Linked DNA regions of Macaca mulatta. The protein of the gene in region 3 binds, or shares a complex with, the protein of the main gene of each other region. Links are inferred from orthologs where the notes say so. Each region holds a gene or a part of one and is shown on either strand. Other genes may lie near its edges.

What was found.
Region 1: the proteins of RNH1 (region 3) and RNASE1 are in contact, whole or in part, in a crystal structure (PDB 3TSR), measured with the Mus musculus proteins. The link is inferred for Macaca mulatta from reciprocal best matches to the Homo sapiens genes RNH1 and RNASE1. Residues at the interface, in NP_001165571.1 of Mus musculus: Cys7, Asp32, Thr60, Asn89, Asp117, Glu145, Tyr146, Asn174, Glu202, Trp257, Trp259, Glu283, Ser285, Trp314, Lys316, Glu340, Glu397, Ser401, Asn402, Gln426, Val428, Tyr430, Asp431, Ile432, Tyr433, Trp434, Thr435, Asn436, Glu437, Arg443; in NP_035401.2 of Mus musculus: Arg26, Glu27, Lys32, Gln36, Pro48, Thr49, Gln53, Lys56, Arg57, Met60, Asn62, Gly63, Ser64, Cys65, Lys66, Pro67, Val68, Asn92, Lys94, Asn96, Leu111, Lys112, Gly113, Asn114, Ser115, Lys116, Asp121, Ala134, Glu136, Val143.
Region 2: the proteins of RNH1 (region 3) and RNASE2 are in contact, whole or in part, in a crystal structure (PDB 2BEX), measured with the Homo sapiens proteins. The link is inferred for Macaca mulatta from reciprocal best matches to the Homo sapiens genes RNH1 and RNASE2. Residues at the interface, in NP_002930.2 of Homo sapiens: Gln11, Cys12, Arg34, Asp36, Asp37, Arg64, Ser65, Gln93, Asn94, Asp122, Gln148, Glu150, Tyr151, Thr176, Lys205, Trp262, Trp264, Glu265, Trp319, Lys321, Gln347, Ser349, Asn350, Trp376, Ala378, Asp379, Glu402, Asp404, Asn407, Cys409; in NP_002925.1 of Homo sapiens: Lys28, Trp34, Trp37, Gln41, His42, Ser47, Gln49, Thr51, Asn52, Gln55, Val56, Asn59, Gln61, Arg62, Arg63, Cys64, Lys65, Asn66, Gln67, Ser91, Asn92, Arg95, Asn97, Asn111, Leu112, Thr113, Thr114, Pro115, Asn119, Ile120.

The regions. Positions count from the first base shown.
Region 1 is NC_133412.1:93,650,361-93,656,532, forward strand, and holds RNASE1 (ribonuclease pancreatic precursor), read right to left. Parts: upstream 2,241-6,172; coding exon 1,782-2,240; downstream 1-1,781. UniProt on the Homo sapiens protein: Endonuclease that catalyzes the cleavage of RNA on the 3' side of pyrimidine nucleotides. Acts on single-stranded and double-stranded RNA.
Region 2 is NC_133412.1:93,784,471-93,791,277, reverse strand, and holds RNASE2 (non-secretory ribonuclease), read right to left. Parts: upstream 3,468-6,807; 5' UTR 3,384-3,467; intron 3,177-3,383; 5' UTR 3,171-3,176; coding exon 2,688-3,170; 3' UTR 2,515-2,687; downstream 1-2,514.
Region 3 is NC_133419.1:383,738-390,230, reverse strand, and holds the end of RNH1 (ribonuclease inhibitor), read left to right. Parts: exon of another isoform or gene 1-1,599; intron 1,600-3,358; coding exon 3,359-3,529; intron 3,530-3,633; coding exon 3,634-3,721; 3' UTR 3,722-3,898; downstream 3,899-6,493. UniProt on the Homo sapiens protein: Ribonuclease inhibitor which inhibits RNASE1, RNASE2 and angiogenin (ANG). May play a role in redox homeostasis. Required to inhibit the cytotoxic tRNA ribonuclease activity of ANG in the cytoplasm in absence of stress.

The DNA.
Region 1 (6,172 bases), on a different chromosome or scaffold from region 3:
TGCTAATAAGGAATGAGATCCCCATTGCCACAGAAGTGTGGGAATGGACCTTCTCACCTGTAGGTTTCCTTCCTTATGCAGAGCCCCCAGGGCTGAGGATTTACTCTACGTTAGAAAATCACAGCCTCTACCAACATTTATAGATGTAGTATACAACGACAAGGACAGAACTAGTCATGTTGGTTGAAAATAGGGCCTTTCTCTAGTTCTGTGACCTTGTCTGGAGCCAGATGTCACTGTAAACAGGGGATCAAATGTAATGATTAAGTGTCGACAGATGCAAAGGTAGTCTTTCAGTGGCTGTCAGGAAGGGTTGCCAAGAATGGAGTGGACTCACAGGCTAAGTACACTGGGAGCCTGTGAGAGCCCAGCAGCAAGCTCTGGGAGAGAGCCACCGCTCCACAGCACTTAGTGAGGAGGGGAGCTTTCTTCCTGAGTTAGAACAATGGCTTGGAAGTCAGGAAACCTAGGGTCTACTTCCAGCTGAACCACTAACTAGCAACAAGCCATGTGCAAGTCACTGGAAAGGCAGGGGTTACATTTGGTCAGGGATGGCAAATGTGTGGCACACACACCCTTCCCCGTCTTGTGCCTTCATTAGAGGCTCTTGTTCAACCATATCACTGTCCAGAATTTTTTTTCTACAGCATTTTGGGTAGGCACTTCTTTTTTTTTTTTTTTTTTTTTTTTTGAGACAGAGTTTCACTTTTATTGCCCAGGCTGGAGTGAAGCAGCACCATCTCAACTCACTGCAACCTCCGCCTCCCAGGTTCAAGTGATTCTCCTGCCTCAGCCTCCCTAGTAGCTGGATTACAGGCACCCACCACCATGCCCCACTAATTTTTGTATTTTTAGTAGAGATGGGGTTTCACCATGCTGCCCAGGCTGGTCTCGAACTCCTGACCTCAGGTGATCCACCCGCCTCAGCCTCCCAAAATGCTGGGATTACAGGTGTAAGCCACCATGCCCGACCGGCACTTCCAATTAGAGTTGGTACACAAACTGAAATCTACTTGCTATCCCTCAATTCCATGCTCTCCAAAGTCACTTCTAGCTCTAAAATGTAAGATTCTGACTTTCCAACTAAGAGGTGCCCATTTTTCTGATTTAGTAATAGCTTACTCAAAAAAAAAAAAAAAAAAAAGGAGAATGGAAATTTAGGATCATCATTTCATTGACTCCTCTTCCTCATCCTGAGGCTAAGCAGGGTCTTCCTGAGGTTGCACTCACCTTCCTTCTGTGCCACAGAATGACTGTATTTGAGCTTCACCCCTCTGTCAGTTCACCCTGCATGGCAGTGTCCCAGGCTGTTGCTCCCTTTTGTCTAGAACAGCCCACACTTAATAGTTTTAGGTTTGGCATCAAGGAATCTACAAGGAAAGGAATTTTCTCAAGCCACTAAAATCCAAGTCAGAAGGGAAAGCATTTAATTACTTCATTCACCGTTCTCCAAAGCGAATCAGATTTACAGTTCTTGCCCCTTGCTGGAAGCCAATGCCAGAAACAGTACCTAGACAGAACCGCTTCAGAAATCAAGTGCTTGCAACTGTGTTTTATTGAAAGAAAGAGTGGAGGGGTTAACATGGGGCCCACCTCACAACCCACTCTTCACCCCCAAAATCACGCAGGGGTGGGACTCAGGAAAAGGAAGCATGAGTGTGTTGACTAGGAGCCCTAACTGGAGTTACTTCTTTCATAGCAGGGAAGGAAGAGGGAAGAGGGAAGAGGCAGCTGTAGAAAGGATGAGGCTGAGGGAGGTGGGGTATCTCGCTGCTCTGACCTTAGGTTGAGTCCTCCACAGAAGCATCGAAGTGGACTGGCACATGTGGGCTCCCTTCACAGGCCACAATGATGTGTCTCTCCTTCGGGCTGGTCCGGTATGCACAGTTGGGGTACCTGGAGCCGTTTGTCAGGCGGCAGTCTGTGATGTGCATGCTGGACTTGCTCTTGAAGCAGTTGGTCTGCCCGTTCTTGCAGGTGACCTTTTCCTGGAAGCAGACATTCTGGACATCTACCAGGGGCTCATGCACAAAGGTGTTCACTGGTTTGCACCGCCCGTGCGTCATACTCCGGCGCTTCATCATTTGGTTGCAGTAGGTGGAGTTGCTGCTGGGGGAACTGCCTGAGTCCATGTGCTGCCGCTGGAATTTCTTGGCCCGGGATTCCCTGCCCAGGCAGCCCAGCACCAGCAGCACCAGGACAAGCAGAGGGAGCAGGATGACAGACTTATCCAGAGCCATGGGGGCCTCACTTTCCCGGAAAAGCCTAATTGAGAAAAGGAGACAGAAGGAAAAGAGCCCTCTTAGAAAAAGAACTCCACCTCCCACCTATGGCTTCCCTGGCTTACAGTTTCTGTCTCAGGTCAACCAGAAAGATGTCCGTCCCACTTCCTGAGGTTTTTTGTGTAATGAGACACTCACGTGTATCCTTCTCCACAAGCGTTTTATTGCCACTCTCCAAAGCGAGGTCTTTTTCCCGTTTAGGTGGTGACCTACGAAGTGACCTAAAATCCTGTCAGTTTCTATCTTTGAATACTGGTGTTTCTTTGATCCAAAATACATTTGTATCCAGTGCTCAAATGGCTCATCGAAACATCAGTTTGAATAAATCATGAACCAAATTGTATCCCCAACATCTAGGACCATGGGTGACAGAGTCTTGTTGTCTTACAGCATAAGGGAACTCAGGCCAGTGCCTGACACTGGCCTCATAAAGGATTCCGTTGTATTCCAAAGAGAAATGCTGGCTTCCCCCAACTTGAGGGCTCCTTCTTTTCCAGTTCCATGGATGCTCTGCAGCCTGCACGTTCCACCCCGACCCCTCTGCCTCCAGCTGATGTTTGCCTGGACCACATTTTTTCAGCGCTAGCATCATCCAAGCTTTCTCAGTGCTGTGGACTGGCCCTAGCTTCTTCCTCTCCAACCCTGAAGCAGAAGCGGCACCTGAGAACACCTCTTGGACTGCTTACCTGGATCTGCAGCTTGGTGTCTGAGAGAGATGGAAGGCCAGTTTCTGCAGTCACTAAGCTCCTGGGGTATGGACCTTATACAGATTACAAAGGGGTTTGGCTTCCAAGAGGAAAAGGGTGGGAGGAGCATATCGAACTCAGTTGAAATAAAATCAAGGACGTGAGGAAGGAGTGGTGAATCTCCCAGGCCACCATCTTTCCAGGGCTGCTGAAGAAAGAGCAAATCTTTGCCTACATTAGTCTTTCCTCCTATGTAAACCACATCTGTCTGCTGATGCACAAGGAGCAGCAGAGAAAGCCACTACAGCACTGGTGCCCAAACCTGACACACTAGGGACAAAGTCCTTGTTACTTCTTCGTGGGCCGTTTTCACCAAGTAGACTTGGAGGTTAACAAAGGACGCAAAAGGTGATCACGGGAAAGGGAGGCCCTCTCCTCAGGAGAGGTACTGATGGGAGATGTGGAATTCTGGCCAAGGCTATTCCAGGGCTCCTAGGGAGCAAAACCCAAGTCTCTTTTTAGGAGGGTATTCTCCCAACAGTACCTCTCCCGGGGGTGGAAGGTGGGGTCGGGGGGAATGGAGGCGGTCCTGCTGCCCCCAGCTGGAAGGCTTCCCAGATCTGGAGAAGAAACGGGGAGTAACTGAATAGGGAGGAGGAGGAGGCTTCTAGGGTGAGCTCACCCAGTTCTGGTCACTTCCCGCCCACCCTCCTCCCCCTGCTCTGGGGGCATCAAGAGGATGGAGCTGTTCTTATCTACTGATCAGAACCACTGGTAGGTGGGAATTGAGTAGAGAAACTGAAGATAAACTTAAATCCCAAATCTCAAATTCTTTTTGGGTAAAAAATACAAAGCATATCATATTTGTTAGCAGCAGAATGCACTCCTAGAAAGAGACCTGTCCTTTTGCTGAGTAACAATTTGGATACCTGTGGAGTAAGAATTATCAAAATATCCCTTCGTGCTCTGTATTCAGACTGTTTCAGCCTTTCTGTGTAAAAAGTGGCCATGGTGAAATTATCTGACCTACGTTGTGTGGTTGTAGGTCATAAGATCCTCATTCCAAAGGAGGTCCTGCCCCCCATACCCAGAAAAAAGAACGAATGCTCAGGGAGGCCAAGAAGAATCTAGACAGGGAGGCCTTGCTGGGTTTCCCCACTCAGTCTATTTTCATTAGATCTCACCCCTGTTGTCCAATCACATTTCTACACAGCTGTTCATACTTTGTTGATACCTAAGTGTAAAAATGCCCACTTTCCCCTCTATCTTTGGGTCTTCTGAAGGCCCCCGTGTTGTGTTAAGGAAGGAGACCACTACTACTCCTGCTGCCCTCCTCCCCCCACCTTGCCTAGTTCACAAGACAGGAAGAAACAGACAAAGAAACAAAAGAAAGATAAACAGCCAGACAACCTTGGCACCACCACCCGACCCTAGGAGTTAAAAAAAGTAATAATAATAACATCAACCCCTGACCTAAACTGCTTGTGTTATCTGTAAATTCCAGACACTGTATGAAAAAAGCATTGTAAAACTTTTTGTTCTGTTAGCTGATGCATGTAGCCCCCAGTCACGTTTCCCACGCTTGCTCAGTTTATCACGACCCTTTCACGTGGACTCCTTAAGGTTGTAAGCCTTTAAAAAGGCCAAGTATTTCTTTTTCGGGGAGCTCAGCTCTTAAGATGCAAGTCTGCTGATGCTCCCGGCCGAATAAAAAACCTCTTCCTTCTTTAATCCCGTGTCTGAGGAGTTTTGTCTGCGGTTCGTCCTGCTACAGTGTAAAACTCTGATAAATAAAATTGTATGCAGTTTTCCCTATTAAACTGTCTTTTGTCAGTTGATTTTCAGCGAAACTTCGGAGGGTGAAAGGGGAATTTTTTCTTGGCTCCTATAGTTTGCTTACTCCCCCAGCCCCTACCTATATTTTATTTTTCTGAGTCTTAAATAATACTTTCATTATCTTGAATAGTCAAGTTAGAATGTGTTCATTCATTCATTCAACTGTGGGATACAGACATAGATAAGGCACAGGACTTACCCGAAAGGCGCCTGGTGGGATGATTTGGGTTAGTCAGGTGGACCCCACTAAGGCACTGGGCGTGGCTGCACAAAAGTGGCCTCCACCCAGCAAGATGATTGCAGAACCACGGTTCAGATGTGAACAGATCTTCTGTAACTATAATAAGGCTCTTCAACAGCCCCTGGCCCTAGGAATCCTGAAACTACAGGAAGCCATTTTGTCTATTTATGCATAGCAATCTAGACAAGCCCGTGGAGTTTTAACTGCACTTCATAGGGAACCATCAAAAGCCCTTACTGCAGCATTATCCTTGACCCAGTTGCAAAGGCATAGCCCCGCTTGTCTTAGGGCAGTAGATGCCACCCCACATTTGTTGTTGCTTCTGCTGAACTTGTTCTAGGCTCCCTGCTTGACCTCCTGGTTCTCATGCAGCACAGGCATTACACCTGACTGAGAACTCACTGCACATTTCAGGCAGCTGATTAACCTCTTATAAGATTCTATCGCTCTCTCCCTCTCACATTACTACTCATCTCTGCAGCAGACTGAATTCTGCCACTGTCTGTCCCTACTGGAAGGGGAGCCTCTTGATTGTCTTACCTCAGCAGGGAACATTCGGCATGTCAGTCAGATTTATTAACAACTCCTATTGAGAACCCGGACCTAATATGATTTACTGATGGATCATACCACAAAATTGACACTTGAGGTTAGTACACTGAGGGAAGAAAAATCAATTCTTCCTTTACCCTCCTAGAGTCTAGGGCTGGGGGCTCTGTAAATTAAAATGACAAAAGACAGATTTAACAGGAGAAAAGGCATAAAAATTTAATTTAATATTAATATTCGACATGAATATGGAAGTCTTCATAAAAAAAGAAGTGAAGACTCAAAGAAGCAATTAAACCTGAGAGTTTCTAGGCCATTTTGACAAAGAAAATTGTGCAGAAGTGATAAGACAGTGTTCCATGAAAGGGCCACATATGTGAAGTGGCCCCAAATGCTGAAGGAGCCTAGAAACTAAAGAATGAGGCAGACAAATTCAATTTGTCAGTAAAGAGTGTTTTATTCTACTGGGGAACTTATAGACGGAAGCGTCGTCTTGGGCAGCAGCAAGACAGGTAAATCTCAGCACTGCTATTCCCCAGACCCACAGCTTATATACCACAGGGAAAAGGGGTATATAA
Region 2 (6,807 bases), on a different chromosome or scaffold from region 3:
TCTATATTGTGGTGCTCTGTGTAATTTTCTGTGTACTATGCTGTGTATTTTTCCTCCTGACACTTAACAAAATTTTGCATGCTTAGAACAATTTTGTATGTTTATTTTTATCCTAGCATAATGTGGCCCCAAAAGAGCAGTGACCTGTCTTGGTCTGTGTTGCATCAACACTCCCTCAAACTGTGCCTGGAGCAACGTACCTACTCAGTAGATGTCTGCTGGATGAATGAATGAGCGAAGGAATGGATGACAGGAGAGGGGATGAAGTCACAAGGTGAAGAGGGCATGGGGGCATGTGGGGACTGATCCCTCTGTCCTACGGTTTTAGATATGAGGCATCCCTGACTGAGAAGACACCTATGATCTGGTACCTGAAGCAAGGAAGGTCCACGCCATCTTTCTTCACAGTAGACGTGGCTCCAGCTTTCAGTGTCCCACCCTGTCCTTCTGCTACTTTGAGGGTTGGGAAGACTGCACTCACTTCCTGACATGCTCTATTTTACCTAGAGGCAGTGGATTCTGTTGAGCACTGAGATTTCCCAAAACCAGTGTCCCTGTGCAAACTTTTAAGTTCATAGCCCCACCTTGGAGAAGCAAGATCTCAATGGCTTCTCCTGAGGAGAGACTTCAATACAGCTGCTGTCTGGTGCCAATGAGAGTCACTATTACTGACATGGAGTCATCTGAGGAATGGAAATTGCTGTTTCTGAGGGTCTAGAAGAGGAGCAGAAATATAGAAGTCAGAAATTTCAGACTGAAGGACCAAGGTGCAGATCTGATGACGTGGTATCTCTGTTGTATTGTGACTCAGGCCATCCAAAAAGACCCACTCTGTCCCCGGCACAATCATCTGAGTGCTGCACCTGTCCACAGCTTGCAAGAAAGGGCTTCCCCTTCCTGTTTCTCATGGATTCCTGAGTGAAGCCCTGTAATGGAGGCCAGGGCAAGGGCTCTTATTATCCATTTCTTCTCTCTCTGGGTCTACAAATCCCTACTTCTTGAGGCTGTGCCCTTCCTGACAGGTGTTGAATGAACCCTTTGACTCACCATTGCGGATAGCTATGGAGGGCAGAATGGGCAGGAGTCATCTCACCTTCATGAGTGTTCCCACTTCCGCGTCCTCCTCTTTCCCCTTCCCCTTCCCATGTGACCAGCGGCTCCCCATCTCCAGGACATGGAAGTTTTGGGAAAGATGCCCATCTCTCTTCCAGGCGGTATTACAATCTGTCCCTATTGCTGTCTGAACAATTTATCTTATTGCACATTTGACTCAAACCCTGGATCCACGTCTAGTACAATTGCTAATAGCTGGAGATTTGATGTGCTCATTTAAAAGGAATATCTCTGAGGCTAAACTTTTTTAAAAATCTTGATTTCACCTTATTTATAGCATTCTTGACTTTTTCTACTTTCTGTTTTTGTGTTTTCTATCATAACGTTCAATCCTATCAAAATTTATCATTCATAAATCATAATGAAACACGTGCATTTTCAGCTTATTCACTGCAGCTCCTATATATCTTGGGATATAAATCATGTCAATAAAAACCAAACTTATACCATAAAGCATCAAATGGGACCTCAGTATCAAATTGGGCTCAATGGTGAAATACAACTAAAACAAGTGGAGATCTAGAGTCAAGTTATAGGTTGGTGTGTGGGGAGGGGTCAGCGGATGGAAAATTGCCTAGAGGAGATATCAAGACTAGGGAGACCAATGCTAGGTTGATGTAATTGGATTTTTGGTTTTTTTTGAAGTCAGGCCAGGAATCAGGTATCACATGGAGAATGATGGGGGAATTAAGGAATTTGGACAAATATTGAGGATGAGAGATTCATGACAAACCAAGTTAGGAGGACTTCTGTAAAACCTAACTTTAGGTCTGGTACTGGTGGCTCATGCCTCTGATCCCAGCATGGTGGGAGGCTGAGGAGGGTGGATTGCCTAAGGTCAGAAGTTGGAGACCAGCCTGGCCAACATGTTGAAACCCACTCTCTAAAAATTACAAAAATTGGCTGGATGTGATGGCACGTACCTGTAACCCCAGCTACTTGGGAGACTGAGGAAGGAGAATCGCTTGAACCTGGAAGGTGGAGTTTGGAGTGAGCCGAGATCTCGCCACTGCACTCCAATCTGGGCAACAGAGCGAGACTCTGTCTCAAAAAAAAAAAAAAAGAATAAAAATAAAAGTAATTATAAATGATTCTACAAGGAAGGACTAGTAAGTCCAACAGGATGACCTAGTTATGATGAGGGTTCAGAGGAGATGACTAAAGCTTGATCAAAGCAAGAGTCTTCGACAGTTGGTCGATATCAGTTGTGACCTCAGCTTCTCAACCTAAAGCAGGGAGAGGGATAAGTCTGTGCTACTTCATGACAGAAAGAGTCTCTTATCCTCAAATCTCTATTTCCCACAAGTCTCAGGTTAGAGGAAAGAAAAATTTCTGGAGTAGATTGTCACTAAATGACAGCAGAGTGGCCAAAGAAGACACACAGACACTTCCAGATGAATTTGCAAAGCAGTTTATTGCAGGGTTCACAAGGGACTTCAGCTCAGGAAACCTGAAGGGGTATGGATACTGATGAGGACAGATGCTGATACCCAGGGTACATGGAGGGATGGGATCTTGGCTATGATTGAGGAGCTTGGCAGATGAGTGATGATGAGGAGTGCTGATACAGGAGCTTAGATGACTCTATCCAAGTGAACTGGAACCACTGGATACTGTGGAGGGTCCCGTACTGGATCGCTGTTGTTACATGCAACTATGTAGTACTTGTTTGCTGTTGTCTGTGTATACCTGCAATTTGAAATCCTTCGACTTGGAGTTGTGAGGTTACAGTGGATTAAAGGCACCTGGACTCCACTATGATGACAATTGTTGAGACTTGTGTTGCTAGGGCAGGGCATGCTTGGGTTACCACAGACATGAACTACATCAGCAAAAGTTGTAAGAAGAAAAGTATTTTGATTTTTGCATCGCTGTTGATAATTGTTAATTACCGGCATTGCATTGGTGCATTGGCCAGAGGTCATATTTATATGCTGGATTTCAAACCACTGAGCCCAGGTAAATTGTCCGGGTTTGGCATGAAGTGAGCCTTCCACACCCATAAGCCCCAACAGAAGAAGCAGACAAATTGGGGACGTGAACAGTTTTGGAACCATGTTTTCCTGTGAGAAAAGAAGAGAAGTAACTACTCCCCCATCCGGTGTCTCACCCCACAGGCCCCTCTGCTGCCACTCTGGGGTCCCATTTCCTTTTTCTTCCTGTCCCCAAAGTGGGCCACATCTCCTAAGCACTAAGTTCAGCCCACCTCTTCCTCAGGTGCTGCCCGGTCGCTGCCCCTCCTGTCCCAGCTCTGGGGATTGCTGACTTACCCAGTCTCCGCGCTGCGGCTCCTGTGAGAACTGATCCAGCTGGTTGTTCTGGCCTTCAGGGGCAACTGTTCTTCCCTACTTGGAACTGTTTAAATAAAGCATCTCCTGGTGTGTTGGGCCAGCAGAGCCAGGAGGGAGGGTCTGACTCTTGGCCTTGTAGAAACCCACAGATTGGTACATAGTCCGCTTGTGCAATCAGATTTTTTTTTTTTTTTTTTGAGATGGAGTCTCGCTCTGTCGCCCAGGCTGGAGTGCAGTGGCCAGATCTCAACTCACTGCAAGCTCTGCCTCCCCGGTTTACGCCATTCTCCTGCCTCAGCCTCCTGAGTAGCTGGGACTACAGGCGCCCGCCACCTCGCTCGGCTAGTTTTTTGTATTTTTTAGTAGAGACGGGGTTTCACCATGTTAGCCAGGATGGTCTCGATCTCCTGACCTCGTGATCCGCCCATCTTGGCCTCCCAAAGTGCTGGGATTACAGGCTTGAGCCACCGGGCCTGGCCCATCAATCAGCCTTTTTATTTGATAACTTGGCTGAGCAATGGATACCCAAGGATAGCCCTGCTGCTCTTTCTGCTATGAGGACTCTAATTCCAAGTCATTCTGTGTAAGACAGAGTTTTGCTGGTTGGATCTGGACTCTGGATGAAAACTATATGTTGCCTGCAGAATGACCACAGATTTTGTAACTGTCCTCTGGCAGGCCCCTAAATGACCAAAGTGCACGAAGGCAGGGCATAGTAGTTAGAACAAATAGAGCCACAGAGGGCTGTTTGCCCAGGAGGAAGCCAGCTTGCCTTTCATTGTTAGTAATATCCTTGGTTCTCTCTCACACAAATGCTCTCCATCTCATCCACCACTCTTTGCTGGAAACTTGAGCTATTAACTTCTTGAGACACAAGATTCTGTAGATTATTAAAACAATCTGCTTCACATATTTGAGGGTTTTCCTTTTCTCCTCTTGCATTGGATTCACTTTCTTTTAAGTCTTGCTCTCATTATTGCTTCCACTTTGTGTAAAGTTACACAACCTAAAAATACACTGAGGAAAGTCGTAAAATCTGGGAGAGAATGAATGAACATTTGGTGTCATGAAAGATTCCAGCCTAGCACTTGGTATTCCTGTGTTCTTTTCAGCCTATGGTATTTTCTACAAAACAGTGTGTTCTGGGGTTGTCATTCATCTTCCTGATAAGTTTCATTTTGTGATATTAACAAGAAAATGGTTCTGTATTTACAAAATGAACATTTAAGGACAGAGCACTGTGTTCCTGAAAGTACAGAAATCAAATGTACAGTTTGATACACAAAGCATACACTTATTCTTGGCCCTCAGAGAAACACAGGAAGGTAATTGTAGACATATAATTGAATTACAGTGTGAGAGAGGTAATTGCACTTGTGTGAACATGATTTCATGGGGACACTGAGGGTGAAGGAAATCACTTGGCTTGAGGGACAAGGAAGAGTTAAAAAAAAAGTTTCATTGCAGCAGGGTCCTAAGGTAAAAGCAGGGGGTTTTCAGGGGCTTTCGGGAAGAGATGAACATTCTGGGCATGTGGGGAGATTGTATGGAGGTGGGAAGTGAATTGCAGGGGTAAGTCGTGGGTACTAAGAGATGTTAAATCTGGTGGTCTAGCTTTGAGATTAGAAAATTGAAATTAGATCCTTAAATGATATCATATACTTTCCAACCATTAATCTGCATAATTTTTGCTACCATCCAATTTTCCTGTCATTTAGAAATGCAGTAATTTTATCACTGGAGTCCCTAGGTAAATGTGGACACAAAGGGGACCTGGCGAGGACTCAATGTGCAGCTAATAGTGTTCTGCCTTGAAGTCCTGCTCTGGCCGACAGTCATTAGCAGCTTTATCATGAGGCGAGTTTGTTTTTTCATGTATATTGTGTGGAGATCATTTTTGTAGGTGATGAGAATGTAAAGGTGAATGATACGTAGAGTATCCCCTCTGTGATGCTGACAGTCACACTGGGTAGAAAGATTTGCACTCAAGTGTCTATAGTATGAGGCAAAAGACAGAGACCGCAGCCCCAGGGCATGTACTTGACTAAACAGTGTTTCTTTTCAGCCTACACAGTGCTATTTATAATGTTTGGTTTGGAAGATAACGTTTGACATTGGAATAGTTCACTAAAAGTTTTCATCACTGTCTTATCTTTAAAAATCGCATGATGTTGATTGGTGCACTGTGTCTCCATTACTGTGTTGTATCAATTAGAGCTGAGTAAAGCTCCATCTGTGGAAAGGGCTCTAGCTCAGGGCTGTTCTCTGACTCCATCTCTGCCTCTTGACTTTCATCTTGTCTGTTCAGTAATGTCACCTGCCTGGCTCCTGGAGACATCTGTGCTTATGACGCATCTGACTTGTTGCAGTGTCTTAAGAAATAACTCAGACCATAACCTGCCCAATTTGCAACCATATTTATCCTTTAATATTGTGTATGTGTTTTTTTTTTGTTGTTGTTGTTTTTGAGACGAAGTCTTGCTATTGTCACCCGGATGGAGTGCAGTGGAGGGATCTTGGCCCACTGCAACCTCTGCCTCCTGAGTTCAAGCGATTCTCCTGCCTCAGCATCTCAAGTAGCTGGGATTACAGGCACCCACCACAATGCCCGGCTAATTTTTGTATTTGTTATAGAGACAGGGTTTCACCATGTTGGCCAGGCTGGTCTCAAACTCCTGACCTCAGGCAATCCGCCCCCCTCACCTTCCCAAAGTGCTGGGATTATAGGCATGAGCCACCACTCCCGACTACTGAAATTGTATTCAGCACATGCTCATGAGATTTTTCTGATTCTCCCTTGCATAGATTTCCTGTGTACACTTCCAACTACCTTCATTTGCCTGCAGAACTAGTAGAAATGATCTACTTTGGTATTTACGACCTTTGGGAGAAGACTGTTTTATACGAAGCAGGAATAAAGTATAAGCCAATGTTAAACAAAATTCTCTGTAACTTCAGCATGATTTTGTCTTTAACAGACACGAGCCACATCTCCCGGGTTCTTTACTTTATTAGATTAACTTGTCTTAGAGCCTAATTTAATGACACATTTTCAGACCCAATCCATACTTCCAGTGAGAGTAGTAGTCAGAATTATGTCCCAGTATTAAGTCCCTTTTTTGGAAACCGATGAATATTCTAAAATACTGTCCCAGACAAAGACTGTTTATGGTAAAAAACCACTGTTGAGTACACTGGATTAATCAATGTCTTTTTTGCATAGCATTTATGTGCAAAATTATAATGTTTAATGCTTTTAATTACTTCAGCCCCAGGGTACCCTTGTAATATTTGCTCTTAACCTGCTGATAGGGAGGTACCAAACCATCAATACCTTCCTGCACACAGATTTCCCTAATGCAGCAGTGGCTATCTATGGGAAAGACAATGCACACTATTTACT
Region 3 (6,493 bases):
CAAGAGAGCACAAGTGTCCATGTGAGCATGTGTGAGCACGAGTGTCCATGAATGTGAGCATGTGTGAGCCCGAGTGTCCGTGTGTGTGAGCACATGGGCGAGAATGAGCAGTGTCTGTGAGTGTGAGCACAGTGTGAGCATGTGTGTCTGTGAAATCACATGGGTGAGAGTGAGCCCGTGTGAGCACAAATGTCCGTTTGTGTGAGCACATGGGCATGCGAACGAGTGTTCATGTGACCACATGGGCGAGAGTGAGCATGAGTGTCCGTGTGTGAGTACATGGGTGAGCACGAGTATCCGTGTGAGCACGTGTGAGCACGAGTGTCCGTGTGTGAGCACATGGGTGAGAGCACTAGTGTGTATGAGCGTGTCTGAGCACATGGGCGAGAGTGAGCAAGTGTACGTGTGAGCACGAGCGAGAGTGAGGACGTGTCTGTGTGAGCATGTGAGCATGAGTGTCCGTGTGTGTGAGCACGAGCCAGAGGAGTGTCCGTGTGAGAATGTATGAGCACAACTGTGTGAGCACATGGGCAAGAGTGAGCACAAGTGTTCGTATGTGTGAGCACGAGTGTCCGTGTGTGAGAACGTGTGGGCATGACTGCCCGTGTGTGTGAACACATGGGCGAGAGTGAGCCACGTGTCCGTGTGTGTGAGCACGAGAGTGAGCACATGGGTGAGAGCACGAGTGAGCACGTGAGCATGAGTGTGTGAGCACAAGCGAGTATGAGCACAAGTGTCCATGCGATCACGTGTGAGCATGATTGAGCACATGGGTGAGAGTGAGCATGAGTGTCCGTGTGTGAGAACATGAGTGAGCACGACTCCGTGTGTGTGAGCATGAGTGTCCGTGTATGAGCACATGGGTGAGAGCACGTGTGTGAACACGTACGAGCACGAGCGAGAGTGAGCATACATGTCTGGGAGCATGTGAGCATGATTGAGCACATGGGCGAAGAGTGAGCACGAGTGTCCATGTGAGCACGTGTAAGCATGATTGTGTCAGCACATGGGTGAGAGTGAGCATGAGTGTCCGTGTGTGAGAACATGAGTGTGAGCACGACTGTCCATGTGGGAGCACATGGGCGAGAGTGAGCACGTGTCTGTGAGCATGAGTGTGTGTATGAGCACAGCAAGAATGAGCACACAGGCAAGAGTGAGCGTGCGTGTCTGTGTGTGAGAACATGAGTGTGAGCACGACTGTCCATGTGTGGGAGCACATGGGTGAGAGTGAGCATTAGTGTGTGAGAGCACGTGTCAGCACGAGTGTGCGTGTGCATGAGTACATGGGTGAGAGCGAGCATGCATGTTCATGTGCTGGGCAAGGCAGGGTGGTGGCACCACTTTGAGTTCTCTTTTTAGCTTTGAAAGAGGTCATAGTTCATGAAACCTGAGAGCTTTATGCGGCTCTAGCCTCCCTGGCCACCCTGTGGTCCATCTTCCTGGAAGCCCCGCCCACCTTCCTCCCGCGCGGGAACCCTGCCCGGCTCTGGATGTCTTTCCAGGTCAGGATGTCTTTCCGGGTCAGGATGTCTTTCCGGATTTCCTCCCTTTGTTGAAGGACGTTTTCTTGCAGCTTCCTGAGAAATGTTTCTGCAGAAGGTAATTTTTGGAGGCCTTGTGCCCCTGCTCTGCCCTTGGATCATTTAGCTGGGTATAGCGTGTGCCACTGTGCCCAGCTTTTTTTTTTTTTGAGACAGTCTTGCTCTGTCGCCCAGGCTGGAGTGCAGTGGCACGATCTGGGCTCACTGCAAGCTCCGCCTCCCGGGTTCACGCCATTCTCGTCTCAGCCTCCCGAGTAGCTGGGACTAGAGGCGCTGCCACCTCGCCTGGCTAATTTTTTGCATTTTTAGTAGAGACAGGGTGTCACCATGTTAGCCAGGATGGTCTCGATCTCCTGACCCGTGATCCACCTGCCTTGGCCTCCCAAAGAGCTGGGATTACAGGAGTGAGCCACCATGCCCGGCCTAATTTTTTTATTTTTAGTAGAGATGGGGTTTCACCATGTTGGGCAGGCTGGTCTTGAACTCCTGACCTCAAATGATCTGCCTGCCTCAGCCTCCCAAAGTGCTGGGATTACAGGCATGAGCCACTGTGATCTTGTGCGTATGATCTGCTTTTTCTCAGCAGTTTTTCCAGATTTCTTTGTCCATTGTGTTCGGGGTTCCATGTGCTTGGCTTTGATGTGGGTCTTGTTCTTTGACTGTGCTGGATACTTGGTTCTAAGAAAATATGCCTTTGCTGATTTTTTTTCTCTCTTTTCTTCCCTTTCTCTTTGGTGTGCCCATGAGCCTGTCCTGATGTCTTGTGGACTGGCCCTCTAATTGTGCTCTCCAAATTTTCTTTCTCTTCGATGTTTTATTTTTGGGAGATGTTCTCATTTACCAGCCAGTCTACTGAATTTCCATCCTCAGTGTTTTGTCTTTTGTTTGCTATTTCCCGTGTGCCTCTTGCCAGGGGCTTTCCATGGGTGGCTGGTCATCCTGGGCTGGGCACCAGGTTCTGAGTGAGGCCTCGGAGCCCTGGACAGTGGGCCCTGCAGGCTAAGTCATGCTGGACAGGGGGTCCTGCAGACTGAGTCATGGCTGTTTCCCGAGGGCTTTCTCCTGCTGGGGGATTTCCAGTTCCCTGCCAAGGGACACCATCCTGGCTGTCAGGACCTTGTGGGTGTTCCAGGTGTGGAGAGGAACCTTGGGTCCTGCTCACTGCAGACTGGTTCCCCCTGAGCCACCGCACAGGGTGGGGGTCCTGCAGCTTCTCTGGCCCCCACTTTGGAGAGGCCCAGCATAACTCCTTGGCCTTGCTGTCCGGCCTGTGGCGGCTCCACCCCGGGAAGTGGGTGTCGGGTCTTGTCTCCTCCACCCTCTTGTCTGGCCTGTACCCTCGTTACTCTCTGGAACCTCAAGTCTGTTGTCCACTCTGTGCCTTTCTTGGTGGTCTCCATACCCTCGTTTCCCCACAGCTGCCCTTTGGCCTCTGGCTGGCTTCTCCTCTGAAGCCCACCCCGAGGAGAGGCAAGGGGGTGGGTGTGGCTCTCTGGGTGGACGGCATCTCCCTCCTGTCCTTTCTCCTCCCTGCGGAAGGTCTCAGATGTCAGGCTGCCGTGCCCCACTTGTCTGTGTGGCCTTTGTCTGTGGTGGGGAACCTGCCCAGGGCCATAGAGGGACAGTGAGACAAGCTGCCAAGGCTGAGCCTTGGGGACGGCCCCACCTGAGGGTCCCGAGTTGCCGAGCACAGGTGTCCGTCGGTCCTTGGGCTTCACGGCGTGGGCCTCCATCGCACCCCCCAGGCCCAGGCTGCTCGGCTGGTCATGTGGTGCCAGGCACGCCCCGCACCCTGACCCCCACCCTGCTCCACCCAGGCTTGGCGACTGTGATATGAGTGACAGCAGCTGCAGCAGCCTTGCCGCGACCCTGTTGGCCAACCATAGCCTGCGCGAGCTGGACCTCAGCAACAACTGCCTGGGGGACGCGGGCGTCCTGCAGCTGGTGGAGAGTGTCCGGCAGCCGGGCTGCCTCCTGGAGCAGCTGGTGTATGTGGACGCGTTGGGCGGGTGGTGTGGCCAGGGCTGCCCAGGGAGGAAGGCGGGGGTTGGGGAGGACACAGACCCATGCCTCCCTTCTGGCCTCTGTGCAGCCTGTACGACATTTACTGGTCCGAGGCGATGGAGGACCGGCTGCAGGCCCTGGAGGAGGAGAAGCCATCCCTGAGGGTCATCTCCTGAGGCGCTTCCTGCCGCTGCTCTCCCTGGACGACCGGCTTCGAGGCACCCCTGGGGCTGACCAGCCCCTGCCACGTCCTCGCCCTGCATATCCTAGGTTTGAAGAGAAACGCTCAGATCCGCTTATTTTTGCCAGTATATTTTGGACACTTTATAAACCATTAAAGCACTTTCTTGGCAGGAGGGGCTCTTGTCCTTCCTGGGGTCCCTGCGAGTTGTGCTGGCATCAGAGACGACACCACCTCACGTGGCATGGGTTTCTCACTGCCTAAGGGACCTGCACCAGGGAAGCAGCCCAAGGCCCTGGCTGTGCTCAGCTGGGTCCTGTGAGCCGTACCCCACCCACACTGGGGAGCAAAGGGCAGGCCCTGCCTGGGGTGGGGGATGCCCCTTGGTTCTGCCTGTGCAGGGTGACGCCTGCTGGGAGCTGCCCACAGGCCCAGCACTCCCACAGCTTCCACCCTGGAGCCTCAGGAGCTCCCAGCACTGCCCAGCGCAGCCCGACCTGGGGTCCTGCCTGGAGCCCAGTTCTTGCCCCAGCTTTGTCTGCAGCTCTGTGTGGGACGGTGGGGCCCATCCTCAGGGGCAGCCCATCTTGCCCACGGGTGGGCAGCTGATCAAGGTGGGCCAGCCCGGGGTGCCCTGCCCTGCCAAGCCAAGAGGGGGGACGCTTGTCAGCTTTCAAAGGTCTGATGCTGAGTCAGCAACTACAAATTCATTGCAAAGAAGTTCCCCGGCAACCCCCCTTTTTTGGACAAGGTCTCTCACTCATCCAGGTGGGAGTGCAGTGGTGCGATCTCGGCTCACTGCAGCCTCGACCTCCGGGACTCAAACCGTCCTCCCACCTCAGCCTCCCAGGTAGCTGGGACTACAGGCGTGCACCCCCACACCTGGCTAATTTTTGTATTTTTTGTAGAGACAGGGTCTTGCCATGTTGCCCAGGCTGGTGTTTGGTCTTGGGTATTACTGGTGTGAGCCATCGCACCCGGCCCAATAAAGCCCTTTAAAGCGACCCAGGGGCTGGGTGCGGAGGCCGGGCACAGTGGCTCACGCCTGCCTGTAATCCCAGCACTTTGGGAGGCTGAGGTGGGTGGATCAGGTCGGGAACTCTTGAGGTCGGGAGTTCGAGACCAGCCTGGCCAACGTGATGAAACCCTGTCTGTACTAGAAATACAAAATTTAGCTGGGCGTGGTGGCCATGCCTGTAATCCCAGCTACTTGGGAGGCTGAGGCACGAGAATGGCTTGAACCTGGGAGGTGGAGGTTGCAGTGAACTGAGATTGCGCCAGTGCACTCCAGCAACAGAGCAAGACTCCGTCTCAAACACACACACATACATACATATATACATACATACTACATTAAAAAATGACCCAGGATCTTAGAAACTAACTATGACCCCCCTAGTCAGGGGAACAGGGCTCCTTGGGGACATGGGTGATGCCAGGCCTGGGGCAAGAGATGCCCAAGGTGAGTTCGGAGCATCTCGGTGTGTGGGGAACCAGAGCCCTTGGGCGCTGTCTGGGGTTGAGTTGCTGCCGGAAAGGCTCCCAGGGGCCGCCTTTGGGACACGGCGGGCGCCTGAACACAGGACTCATCGCAAGCCCCGCCTCGTCCTGCTCCTTGGGAAGAGCAGACGGTGACCACGAGCAGACCGCCACCCCCGCCTGCCGTCACCCCCGCCGGCCGCCACCCCCGCCGGCCGTCACCCCGCCGGCCGCCACCCCCGCCGGCCGCCACCCCCGCCGGCCGCCACCGTCACCCCCGCCGGCCGCCACCCCCGCCGGCCGTCACCCCCGCCGGCCGCCACCCCCGCCGGCCGCCACCGTCACCCCCGCCTGCCACCCCCGCCGGCCGCCACCCCCGCCTGCCGTCACCCCCGCCGGCCGCCACCCCCGCCGGCCGCCACCGTCACCCCCGCCTGCCACCACGCCACCAGCCGCCACGGGGCTCAGAGCATCAGGGGGATGCAGAGCACGGGTGGAGTGACAGTGGGGTCCCACAGGAGTGAGGGGGGGAGAGGGGCCCCCACAGTGGGGAGTTCCTCCTGAGGGGTCAAAGCTGCCACCTGCAAAGAGCAGATGCTGAGGCCCCGTGTGTCCTGCCGCACAGGGCAGGGCCGCAGAGGCCAAAGCTGTGAGTAGCTGTGACTGGAAAAGGGATTTGCTGGGCACCGGGCGTGGTGGCCACACAGGACATCTTCCTGCCGAGCCCGGGAGGCTGCTCTCATGTGAGCCTTGACATACAGGGGTTGAAAATTTCCCCAAAAGTAGTCAAAGAAAAAAAGTAAAGCTGTTTAAAGCCTGGGGCCCTGAGGCAGAGCAGGCAGTGTGGGTGCATCTGGCTCCTGGAGTCCCCTCAGGCTGTGTCCAACCAGCCACCGACACCCCTTACCTCCCCCCTGCTAGGAACCGGGCTCAGGGAACCCCTTTTCTCTCCATTTGTGTTTGAAAATTTTCATGGTAAAGTTTAAAAAATAGTGGCCTGGCTGGGCACGGTGGCTCACGCCTGTAATCCCAGCACTGTGGGAGGCCAAGGCAAGTGGATCACCTGACGTTGGGAGTTCAAGACCAGCCTAGCCAATGTGGTAAAACCCCATCTCTACTAAAAATACTAAAATTAGTCGGGAGTGGCGGCAGGCACCTGTAATTCCAGCTACTTGGGGGACTGAGGCAGAATTGCTTGAACCTGGGAGGCGGAGGTTGCAGTGAACCAAGATGGTGCTACCGCACTCCAGCCTGGGTGACAGAGTAAGACGCCATCTCAAAAAAAAAG